3 linked regions of the Rattus norvegicus genome follow. The protein of the gene in region 1 interacts with the protein of each later gene in a pairwise test. Links are inferred from orthologs where the notes say so. Each region holds a gene or a part of one and is shown in the gene's direction. Other genes may lie near its edges.

Region 1 (4,402 bases):
CCATTACAGATGGTTGTGAACCACCATGTGGTTGCTGGGAATTGAACTCAGGACCTCTGGAAGAGCAGTCAGCGCTCTAACCACTGAGCCATCACTCCAGCCCCTAGCTGACATCTCTCCACTTAACATTCCTTATTTTTACTTAAAAAGAAATTCTGTTATATGTGTGGGTGACCATGAATGATGTCATATGTGTGATGGTCAGGAGACAACTTGCAGGAGGTGGGGGATATCTCCTTCCATCTTGTGGGTCTAGGAATACAACTCCAGTTGTTAAGGTTGATAGTTGAGCCATCTTTCCAGGCCAGGATGTTTTAGTTACTCTGTGACAATTTTTCCTGTTTTGAATCTCCTCAGCATTTATGTATCAGGTTATGTGGCACTTTGTTTTTCACAGGGCATTGAGTTTACTAGAATATTAGAATCAACTTAGGGCAAGCATGGAAATGACATGCCTGTAATTTTTGCACTTGGGAGGCGAAGGTTGGAGGATCAGGAATTCAAGGTCATTCCCGCACTACACGGTCAGCCTAGGATACAGGAGACCCTGTCTCACAAAACTTAAAAAAAAAAAAATCTACTCAAGCCAAGAACCGTGACTCTTGATTCTCCTACGGATGCAGAGAGTCAACACATGCGCATGGACACCAAAGCCCAGCGCCTGCGCACTGGGCAGTTTTTTTCCTTTCGGTCCCAACCCTCCCAGCCCCCCTTTGGAGTGTGCGCACCGAGAAAGACAAAGGTGGTGAAAGTGACCAAGCAGTCATTCCGGCGCATGCCCATCCCTAAATTGCCCAGGCTCCATGGGGGCTCACTTTGTGGAGGCGGAAGTCCAATCCGACGGAGCGAGCGCGGCCCCTCTCTTCCCTTGATTGGTTTGCTTCCAGTGTTGTGGGGCGGGGAAAGGAAGGGACAGGGACAGTGGAAGGTTGGAGCGGTACAGATAGAGCGCTCATCTCGTTCTGCGCAAGCGCAGAGACGCGACCAGGAGGGGGCGTGAGAGAGTGCAAGAGAATGTGGAAGCCCTGACGCGCTGGCGAGCGGGAGCTAGGTCGCTAGCCTAGACGCCTGCGCCTTGGCCCTCCGGCTCCGCGCGCGGCGGGCGGGTGCCCTGTGCGCCTGCGCAGTAGGCGGCGGCGGCAGGGGGAGGTGGAGGCCGTGGAGCGGCAGCGGCAGCAGCGGGTCCCGGGACTGAGGCAGCAGCGGGGGCGCCGGCGGGCGGAAGCTGAGGTGACGAAGGCGGCGGCGGCGGCGGCCGTTTCCCTCACGGTGGCGGAGACCAAGGCAGCGGCGGCGGCGGACGGGGAGCGGCCCGGCCCCGGCCCCCTGCTCGTCGGCTGTAGCAGGGCCGCCGTGGGGCCGGCCCGGCTCCCGCCCCCCGCGGCTCCCCCTCCGGCTCCTCCTCCTGGGAGACGCCGGGGGCCCGGCCCGGCCCGCACTCAGGGCTCTGTTTCAGCTGCTGCCGGGGCAGTCGGAGGTGGTGGCGGCGCCATGGGCGGCCTGGCCTCTGGGGGGGATGTGGAGCCGGGACTGCCCGTCGAGGTGCGGGGCTCCAACGGGGCCTTCTACAAGGTGAGACGGCGCGTCGACCCGGGACACACTCCTTAGCCCCCTCCCCCAGCCGAGGCAGGGAAGAGTGCAGCGGGATCGAGTTTCTGGAGCTTAGTCCTGACCCTTCGAACCTTCGACCCACGTTCCCACTCGAAACCCTCCCGGGGAGATCGTGGGAGTTAACCCTCGTGCTTTTATTTTTGAGCCCGCTATTACACCTGCTTTTATCCTCAGCTGAAGGCATGAACATCAGGTCATTACTATGCGTGGATGGGAACCCTGGAGAAACCCCTTTTCTTAGCTTCTAATCGACTTTTCTTGTTTTTTAGTGTAGGAGATACTTCAGCTTTTAATCACATCTCCCCTACAGCCAAGCACATGGAGGATTCCCTTTCTTTTCCTACATGACCCCCTTGTGAAGGTCCACTGTGCCATATTAGGTCTTCGGTCTTCAGGGAGGCTTCTTTGCCTACTGGCTCTAGAACCATTTGCTCAACTTTCATCTTACATTCCTGTTCCCAGTCTGACAAGAAATGGTCAGAACCCATTTGTTACTTTAGCATCTTTGGCCTCAGGTTTTATCAGCCAGCCAGCCAGCCATTTAGTGGATTTGTTGGACAAGTCTGTCACCTACCACACCTTTATACCAAAGCCAGCTCTCCAGGGATGGATTCGTGTTTTATCTCTTTGACTCTAGATGTATTTAGGTCATTCCTATATCTTCTTGGTAAGTTTAAGCCTCACCATCTCTAAAAGGCCATCTCCACATGCTTCTGTTCTTCTGATTTCTGCTTGTTGACAGTCTTTTTGGAAAGAAAAAAGTAGCTTTCAGAATTGCTTATTTCAGCTTTTTCTTTGTCCAAGATTTGATTCCTGTGAACTTTTTTGAGGGGTGTGGTTGGGACAAGATTCCCTGGCTGGACTTGAACTCTTCTGTACTCCTTCCTCAGCCTAGGGTTACAGTTCTGGGATTATAGATTGAGCCACCATGCCAGACCAGAACTTTTGTTTTTTCTTTCTATCCATTATCCACCCCATCTTCTGTATCTGAGTCCATTCTGGATCCCCTTCACCCCTAATTTAGATTCAGACTGATTCTTCTCACCCCTCAGGTATTTTCTTCATCTGATCTTGTGGGGTTCTGAACCTCTTCTGCATTTTTTTGGATGGAATTGTCCTGGAAATTTTGGTTCCTCTCTTACTCCTTTCATTCTGGAGAAGAAGAATTTTCATAGCATTAGATGGGAGATGAGATTCCTTTTTCCTTCATGTTTCTTCTGGTTGTCTGTCCCCCTACCCTAGTAGAACTTTCTACTTTCTCATGCCCTTGGAAATAACTTTGACTACTATGAAATTGTATCTTTTTGTAGCTGAAAAGGGACGGGTCTGCCCCGCCTCTGTAGGTGTTTCCTACCCCCACTTCAACTGACCCGTTAGTTACCCACTGTGAAGGCCATGGCAATTTCCCCTTTTCTGATCACGTTCTTCACCCAGTGCCTATGGGTACACATATCTCCTAGCTTTAATTTAGCCTCTCAATTAAGTCTTGGTACTTTTGTACTCCTGTGGATCCTCATTGAGGTCCACCTATCTATCCTTTGTATAGCTGAAGAAGGTTCCCTGTCACTTTCCTAACTCTTGGTACTTTTTTTCTTACTAGAAGAATGTCTTTGTAACATTTCTGTTTTCTGTAGCAAAAGTCTCTTAATTCCTTTTGGGCTCTGATGGGGCTCTGGGGCTCCTTTCCCCCACATTTGTATTACCTTTGTTAAAAGTGTCCTCAGGCTGGGTATGGTGGTGCCTACTCTAATCCTAGGACTTGGAAGACTGAAGTAGGATTGTTGAAGTTCAAAACTAGTGTGGAGAATGAAATCAGACTGAAAAAACAACCCAAACAAAACCAAAAAGTACTCTATAAGTTGTTAGTTCTATTTTTCTTGATATGTTAGCCTTCATCTGTATCTTTCTCACCCCAAAATGTTAAATTCCAAGAAAAGTGAGATATGTATATATATATCTATATATATATCTATATCATATTTTTCTTTTCCTTTTTTTTTTTTTTTTTTTTTCTTTGCTTTGATTTTTGGGGACAGGATTTCTCTTTGTAGCTTTGGCTGCCCTGAACTCAAACTCACTGAGATAGGTTTGCCTTTGTTGAGTGCTGGGATTAAAAGCAGCATCCACAACCACTCCTAGTTTGAAAAGTGATTCTTCAATTGAGTGTGAGATCAAGATAAGATATTTGCTTTTGGTTTAAGGAAGCATGGAAGCCATGCGCAGCTGGGACATGGGACAGATCAGTGCTCAGTTCAAATTAACTGTATGAAGTGGTTGCAAAGGGACATGTTTTCTGTTACACATATGGGTAGCAAACAGAAAGTCTCTTTTGACTTTTGTCATTTTATCCTATGGGCCTATGGGCCATAGCAGTGATAGATTTGAGTGAAGCAGAGACAGGATTCTTTGATAGTATAGAGTTAACAGTTGAATAAAAGCCAAATAACATAGATTTTGTGTTCTGGCCACTTCACTTTCTGCTCCATGACTGAGTAAAAGGCAATTCCCTAAAATTAGACTAATCCTTTTTAAACTCAGTGTACACTGTAGATACTTGCGTATTCCAAGTTGATTAATATTCATGACTCAGCAAACTTTGATGTGAGTAAGGGAGTATTAACTGTCTTTTAGATCTTTTTAAGTTTGGGGAGATCCCTTTCTCCTTTCAAAAAACTGTGTTTTACTTTGATTTTTTTCCTAGGGCCTATAGATACCAGATCTGAGGTCTAAGTTATTTTAGAACTATCCTCTCAAACTTTCCTTTTCTGTCAGGATGATATGTTTTGTTTTA
Region 2 (3,582 bases), about 25 Mb from region 1:
AAAACATAGATATTTACATTATGATTCATAATAGTAGCAAAGTTATAGTTATGAAATAGCAACAAAAATAATCTTATGGTTGGGGTCACCATATGCAAACTATATATATATATATTTTTTTTTTCTCTTTTTCGGAGCTGGGGACCGAACCCAGGGCCTTGCGCTTGCTAGGCAAGCGCTCTACCACTGAGCTAAATCCCCAACCCCATGCAAACTATATTTTAAAGGGTTGCAGCATCAGGAAGGTTGAGAACCACTGACTTAAGCAAGAATGAGCTTGGTATCTCTATGTCAAGCCCCTTCCTACATACTTTAGATACAGTTTTGAGACAAAATGGGTATCTGTTTTCATTCTTTCTTTCTAAAAATGATTTATTGAGACAGGGTCTTAATATGTAGGCTAGCCTTGTGTCCTGAAATTTAGCATGTAGTTTAGGCTGGCCTCAGGTAGTCCACACTGCCCTGGAGCTTTTGATTCTTCCACTGAGAGTGTATTGGCTCATCGCACCAGACACAACTTTGCTTTTTAAAGTACAGAAAGAAGGTTGGATTGGATGGTAAGAGGAGGATGGGGTGAGAAGTGCTCAGGGAGCACATGATGTCAGGGTTTGCTGTTATGTTACCAGGGCTGGGAAGGTATGGGAGGTACCAGACTTAGCTTTTTATTTATTTGTTCTGGTCTTTTGAGACAGGGTCAGTCTTAGTCACTGTCCTCTTACTGTGAAAAGACACCATGGCCAAGGCAGCTCTTATAAAGGAAAGCATCTCATTAGAGCTGTCTACAGTTCCAGTGGGTTAGTCCATTATCATCATGGCAGGCAAGCCCGTCTGTGTGCAGGCAGACATGGTGCTGGAGAAATTGAGAGTTCTACATCCAGATCTGAAGGCCCCAGGAAAAGGGAGCCATTGGGTCTGGCTTGGGCTTTTAAAACTCAAAGCGCACCCCAAGTGACACACTTCTTCCAACAAGGCCATATCTACTAATCCTTCTCAAGAAGTGCCACTCCCTGGTGCTTAAGCATTCAAATCTGTATAAGCCTTTAGGGCCATTTTTATTTGAACTACCACATTTCACTTTCTGGCCTCATAGACCTGTAGCCCAATCTTAATGCAAAAATGCATTCAGTTCAACTTCAAAAGTCCCCACAGTCCATCAGTATCAGCAGTGTTTCAAAGTCCTAAGTTCAGAGTCTCTTCTGAGACTCAAGGCGGCCTCCTGTCACCCGTCAAATAAAAATGAAAAGGCATGTCACATCCTTTCCACATACCATGACATAGAACATACATTGCCATTCCAAAAAGGAGGAAAGTGAGGCAATCCTGAACCAAAGCAAGACCTAAACCCAGCAGGACAAACTCCACACTCTGCATCGCCGTGTCTGATGCCAACGTGCGCTTTGATCTCCTGCTCCTTTCCGTATTGACTGGGACACACTTCTGTCTTGAGCTGGTTCTACACCCCATGTGCAGCGTTCCTTGGCAGGTATCCCACGACACTGGCATCTCTGATATCTTGGGGTTTCCAACATAGGGTCTTTCTACGAAGCCCTGGCTGTGTCTTGGAATACTCTATGTAGATCAGGCTGGCCCTACTGAGATCCACCTGCCTCTACCTCTGGGGTGGTGGGATAACCTCAGTGCCATTAAGAAGGTTGCTGGCTGCCACCTGGATGGATCTGAATTGATCTTAGGAGTAGGGCCAGGTGACCAGCATCCTTAGTACTGGCATAAGTAGGCATTCTGTTTGTCTAGTTGAATGAGGGAGTCCTAGAGCCTTTTGTTTTGAATTACCAGCTACCAGGTTTTCTACTGAGAGAGTTTTTCTTCCTTGACTGTGTCTTCTGTTGTCCTTGGAGGTCTGGGAGGGACTGAATGTTGTGAAGACAGGCCGGGTGATGCTTGGAGAGACCAACCCCGCAGACTCTAAGCCTGGGACCATACGAGGAGACTTTTGCATTCAAGTTGGCAGGTAAGAATCGATGCTTTTCACCCCTTTCCCAAATCTAAGCTAGTTGCCACAAGAATTTGGGCTTCTGAGTCTAGAGATGAACATGATATCATCTGCGGGTCAATTCATTTTATTTTAGCCTTTAAAGTTCATCTTTATTTTTCACTTTTCTGTATGTGTATGGATAGTTTGCCTGCATGATGTGTACTTTCATGACTGGTGCCCAAGGAACTGGGGTCCCCTGAACTGGAGTTACAGATAGTTGTGAGCCCCGTGTGAATCCTGGGAACTAAACCCAGGTTCTCTAGAGGACCAGCCAGTGCTCTTAAAACTGAGCCGTCTCTTCAGCCTTTAGTTTAGTTGTTTCCTCGAGACAATGTCCCAAGTAGGCTAGCTGGCCTCCAAATTGCTATGTAGCTGAGGCTATTCTTGAATTCCTGATACTCCCAACCTCCACCCCTCTCTCAAATGCTGGGAATACAGGCACTGGCCACTGCACCAGGTTTCAGTCACTTTTAAACATGAATTTTGTCTTCTTGCCTCTGAAGGTGGAAGCTGACTTGGAGGGAGGGTCCCCCATATTTGCTTGGTCCCAGTGGCTATGCCTTTCTTGAACAGAGAGCCTGGCCAGCATCGGCTATCAAAAGCCGAGTGCAAGGGGCTGTGGGCAAGTTCATTCTTCCCGTTTGGTAACACCATTCCCTCTCTCCACCCAGGAACATCATTCATGGCAGCGATTCTGTGGAGAGTGCGGAGAAGGAGATCAGTTTGTGGTTTCAGCCTGAGGAGCTGGTGGACTACAAGAGCTGTGCGCAGAACTGGATCTATGAGTGACAGCAGGGCCCCTGCTTTTTTTCTGTCTACTGACCCTTGATCTCACAGGCAGGGGAGCAGCAGCTCTAGATCTTTCTGGAACTTCTCTGAACTGGAAGAAGCCTCTGGGCGCTGTGACTCCCTGTGCAGTGTTAAGTGCCACTGGTAGATTAAAGTGTTTTGTCTGTACTTTTGTATTGCTGTATTGCTCTGCCCTGCTTACCTCCTCTTCAGGCTTCTGGGTAACCCAAGCGGACAGAATGTAAATGCTATGCAAATTACTTATATTGGCCTCGCGTGCACACAGAGATTCCTTTCATTGTCCTTGTGGTTTGAGCCAGCGCCCTGGGACGAGGAGGCGTTTCTTTGCCTATTTCCCTTCCCATCCCCTGCATCCTGTTCTCTCCTGGCATCCAGTCAGACAGCAGTTTCTGTGAGGATGTGTGAAGATGTTAAAACTGTTCTAGGAGCAGGGATTCATCAGAAATAAAGATGCCAACCGAAGCCTGTTGGCCCAGGTCTGTAATTCCAACACTCAGGAGACAGAGGCAGGAGGATTATGAGTTCCAGGCCAGCTTGGACTATATAGTGAAACCTTGTCAAACGAAACAAATCAAAATAGCTGGGTGTAGTGGAGCATGCCTTTTAATCCCAGCACTCAGGAGGCAGAGGCACTCAAGTCTGTGTGAGTTCAAGGTCAGCCTAGTCTAGATAGTGAGACCCTGGCTCAAAAAAACAGACAACAATCCCCCCACCCTCACCTCCCACCCGGGTTGGGGATATAACTTAGTTGGAAGGGAGAGTCTTTCCCAACATACATG
Region 3 (3,646 bases), on another chromosome or scaffold:
TAAGGTGAATGGGAGTCCTGGAGGTGTTGGGTGACACTGGTACCTTGGCGGCACAGACCCTGTTGAGTGTTAATTGGGCTGAAAGAGTCTTTTCATGAACAGGCAGCATGTCTCTGTGACTCTTGACTTCCTGTACACTGGCTTCTCTGTGACCCCAGGGTCAAGCCCTCTAAGATCCTGGAGCAAGTGTGGAGTATGAGCTTGACCGATGAAGCCACCTCTGCTGACACCACTGTAACCTCTCATAGCCCAGGGCAGGGTGACAGTCCCAGGGCTCCCGTTATTTACGGTCTGCCCACACATTGAAGCTGAATGCTCAGAAAAATGAGCTGAGTGGCCACTGTCTTTACCACATCTCAGGATCTGGTCATCACGGGAGAAAGACGTCAAAAGTTTTAAAAAGCTATTTCTACGGATGTTTATACAGCACACAGCCCCTTTCTGGAAAAACGGACTATCTCTCCTGAATTGATTATGTAACTTTGCTTTGTAGTCATTGCTGATTGGTGAATTCAGGCTTCTTCAGGGATTTGGGGTATCTTCTCTTTCAAACACAAAAACCAACCAACCAACCAACCAACCAACCAACCAACCAACCACTCTAAATTTCATGCACTTGGAAGTCCAGCATTGAGTGCCTTTCTGACCATCTAAATTAATTACCCACCTGCTACCTGACATCCATAGCTGCTCTCTCACCATCGCACTCATTTGGAAACAGCCATTTTCTGATTTGTCTTTTCTCACAGCAATATTAAGCTCCCTGGGGCCAGGGGTCTGGTCTGCCCTGTTCAGCAATGCTGCCCTAGCACAGTAGGTTCCCAGAAAGTTATTTGTAGTATTTAAGAAGACTCCCCACAAACTCACCTTGCTGCAGTGTAAGTTTCAAGGGATCATGTGCCAGGAGCCTAGCCCTCAGTATGCCGGTTGTGTCTAGCAGTGGTGGTACCTTTAAGAGGTGGGGCCCAGTGGGAGATGGAAAGCTGGCCCCTCCCCCTCGTGCTGGCTTCTTGCCTCACCAGCCAGGGCTCCTTTTCCCAGGCACTCTATTGTCATCCACCACAAAAGGGTTCTTATCAAAGCTGGTGTTTGTAGCTTCCGTCTCTCGTCTCTCGTCTCTCTCACTGGAAGCTCAATACCGGTTCAGGTTCTCCACACAGTTGTGACAAACTGCAGGAAGGTGCCTGTCTGCAGTGCCCCAAAACCTTTGCCTGCCCCAACTCTTAAGGCTCCTCAGAATCAGATCTCCCATCTGTATTCCTGAGGTGCCAAGGGCTGCGCTGAGTCCGTCCCCCCCCCCCGTGTGTGTGTGTGTGTGTGTGTGTGTGTGTGTGTGTGTGTGTGTGTTTTCTAATGGCAGCCTCACTCGCAAGATGCCATTCCTTCTGTGCACACCGGGAAGAGAGGGAGACTCAGAGACCAGAGATTCACAGAGCTGAGGTTTGCACGTGGTGGGGGTGAGGCGAGGCGAGGCGAGGCGAGGCTGTCATTGGCATCTTTAGGCTCCATCTTCTCCTGTCAGTACCGTTCCCCTTCTGATTTAGCAGTGGCCTTGATGGCGGCAACTTTAATCTAGAGGGAGAAAAGCTGTCCTCATGGGGCTCATCTTCTGTGGTTTTTCTTCCCTCTAGCTATGGCATCGCTGGCTCAACCAATGTGACTGGGGATCAAGTGAAGAAGCTGGACATACTTTCCAATGACCTGGTGATCAATATGCTGAAGTCGTCCTATGCTACCTGTGTCCTTGTGTCGGAAGAAGATACACACGCCATCATAATAGAGCCCGAGAAGAGGGTGGGTCTGTGTTTACACCCCTGAAGGCTTGCATGTGGCCATTTTCCTCCTCGGCACTGTGGAAGATCTCATTCACTTTTCTAAGCTACCATTACCAAGCTCCCTTTCTGTTCTGTCTTCCCACCATCCCATCCCAAACCTCTCCTCTGAACGTGGTCCCAGAGGCTCCATTGATCCTGCCCTCCCCATTTCTCCAGGGTGTGTCTGCGTCACTGCCGTGTTTAGGGATCGTAAAAGCCTGGTTCATCATGACCAATCTCCAGCCTTCGTGTTAGACCCACCGCCAAGCTGAGCTGCCTCCATTTTTTTTTTTTTTTCCATCCCTGGCTCAGGTACTGGGATTCTCTGGTGCTCAGATTGCTTTGTGAGGGCAGAGAACAAGCAATAATCTGTACATCCCAGCCTCTAGCTCCACACCAGCATATTGTAGGACTCAATGATAAACCATTGGGGGAAGATGGAGCAACTGCTCGGGATGTGTTCAACACCGCACTCCTGGGGGAATTTGAGAGTGGCATGCTACAGGGTAGGTTTATTCGGCTTCTATTCCAACAGTAGCTAGTCCTACTTACCGTCTTTCCTCATCCAGGTGAACTGAGGGCATGGAAGAGTAGAACTGGGAAAGAAAATCTAAATGCCCAGCTCGTCTTGACCTTAGTGAGAGGCAAGAAGCCAGCCTAAAGTGACCTGCTCTACAGCCCTTGTAAAGCATGACTACATGCCACAGAAGTCCCCCATCTTCTCCGAAGTGTTGGTCAATTCTCCAGCACTGCCCCTCTCCCCCATCCCCTCCACCCCTGGTGATATGCCATCATGGTGGCTGCTGTCTCATTTTCCAGTCTACAGTTTCCTGCACCTGTAGAAATGCTTTGTTAAGAACAGGCAATGGGAGAGTCCCCTGACTCTGGCAGCACACTGAACACCCCTCCACATCTAAAGACGCCGAGTCGGAGATGGGAATTTCCCAGTGATGAGCTGGTAAACTGGCTCATCACTGGGAAATGTTCGGTCTTGGCCTGCAAGCACGCTGTCACTGTAGTGTCCCTGACAGAGCTTGGAAGAGCCTGTTCAATGAGCTCTCGTGAGCTGAAGCTGGTCAGCCCGGGTGCCACAGATGCTGGGCTGACACCATAGCAGAGGGCCACTTCCTACTTCCTCCAGGAGTCATGGCAGGGATTTTGTTGAGAAATCTGTGCACGACAGTGTAGAATATCTGTAGAGAGAGTCAGCAAAAAAGCCGATGGCCAATGAGCTGAGGCGGGAAATAGGAGGGGGGACACTGGCAGGAAGAGAGGATTCCGGGGAATAGTAAGAGATAAAAGAGAGACACAGGGAGAGCCAAGAGAGATGAGACAGGAGACAGACCCAGGAGACATAGACCAGCAGATAAATGAACCTAGGGAGATGAGAAGGAATAAGTGGACTGGGTAATTAACCACGTGGTAGATATCGAATAGTTTAAATGGGTTAAATAAGTCATGAGCTCATCAGGGAATGAACCAAAGCTTATGGCCAAGGCATTTAATAATAACTAACCTCAGAGTCTGTGAAGGAACAATGGATAGAATACGTTTACAAATAGTGCTGAAAGTGAGACGCCATTTGTAATAATTTAATAATCGTTTTTTTTCTCTTTCAATTTCTGCTCCGGGATGACAACTCTGAGATTAAATATTTATTAACAAATACCCAGGCTATAAGCTTTAGCTCCTTCCTGGCTAGCTGATAACTTATTTAACCGTTTAAACTATTTTATGTCTACAACTTGGTTGGGTTAACTATCCTTCAGTCCTGGCCCACTTTTTGCTTCTCATCTCTTCAGCGTCCCCCTCAGCGTCTCTCTGAACTCATC

The links. The genes of interacting proteins can lie anywhere in the genome.
Region 2: the proteins of Fxr2 (region 1) and Nme1 interact in binary tests that used the Homo sapiens proteins (3 or more experiments, as listed by UniProt). The link is inferred for Rattus norvegicus from reciprocal best matches to the Homo sapiens genes FXR2 and NME1.
Region 3: the proteins of Fxr2 (region 1) and Fbp1 interact in binary tests that used the Homo sapiens proteins (3 or more experiments, as listed by UniProt). The two-hybrid records come from large-scale screens. The link is inferred for Rattus norvegicus from reciprocal best matches to the Homo sapiens genes FXR2 and FBP1.

The regions. Positions count from the first base shown.
Region 1 is NC_086028.1:54,848,197-54,852,598, forward strand, and holds the start of Fxr2 (RNA-binding protein FXR2), read left to right. Parts: upstream 1-1,472; 5' UTR 1,473-1,491; coding exon 1,492-1,572; intron 1,573-4,402. UniProt on the Homo sapiens protein: mRNA-binding protein that acts as a regulator of mRNAs translation and/or stability, and which is required for adult hippocampal neurogenesis. Specifically binds to AU-rich elements (AREs) in the 3'-UTR of target mRNAs.
Region 2 is NC_086028.1:79,403,307-79,406,888, reverse strand, and holds the end of Nme1 (nucleoside diphosphate kinase A), read left to right. Parts: intron 1-1,856; coding exon 1,857-1,969; intron 1,970-2,664; coding exon 2,665-2,782; 3' UTR 2,783-2,949; downstream 2,950-3,582. UniProt on the Homo sapiens protein: Major role in the synthesis of nucleoside triphosphates other than ATP. The ATP gamma phosphate is transferred to the NDP beta phosphate via a ping-pong mechanism, using a phosphorylated active-site intermediate.
Region 3 is NC_086035.1:2,223,694-2,227,339, forward strand, and holds part of Fbp1 (fructose-1,6-bisphosphatase 1), read left to right. Parts: intron 1-1,631; coding exon 1,632-1,794; intron 1,795-3,646. UniProt on the Homo sapiens protein: Catalyzes the hydrolysis of fructose 1,6-bisphosphate to fructose 6-phosphate in the presence of divalent cations, acting as a rate-limiting enzyme in gluconeogenesis. Plays a role in regulating glucose sensing and insulin secretion of pancreatic beta-cells.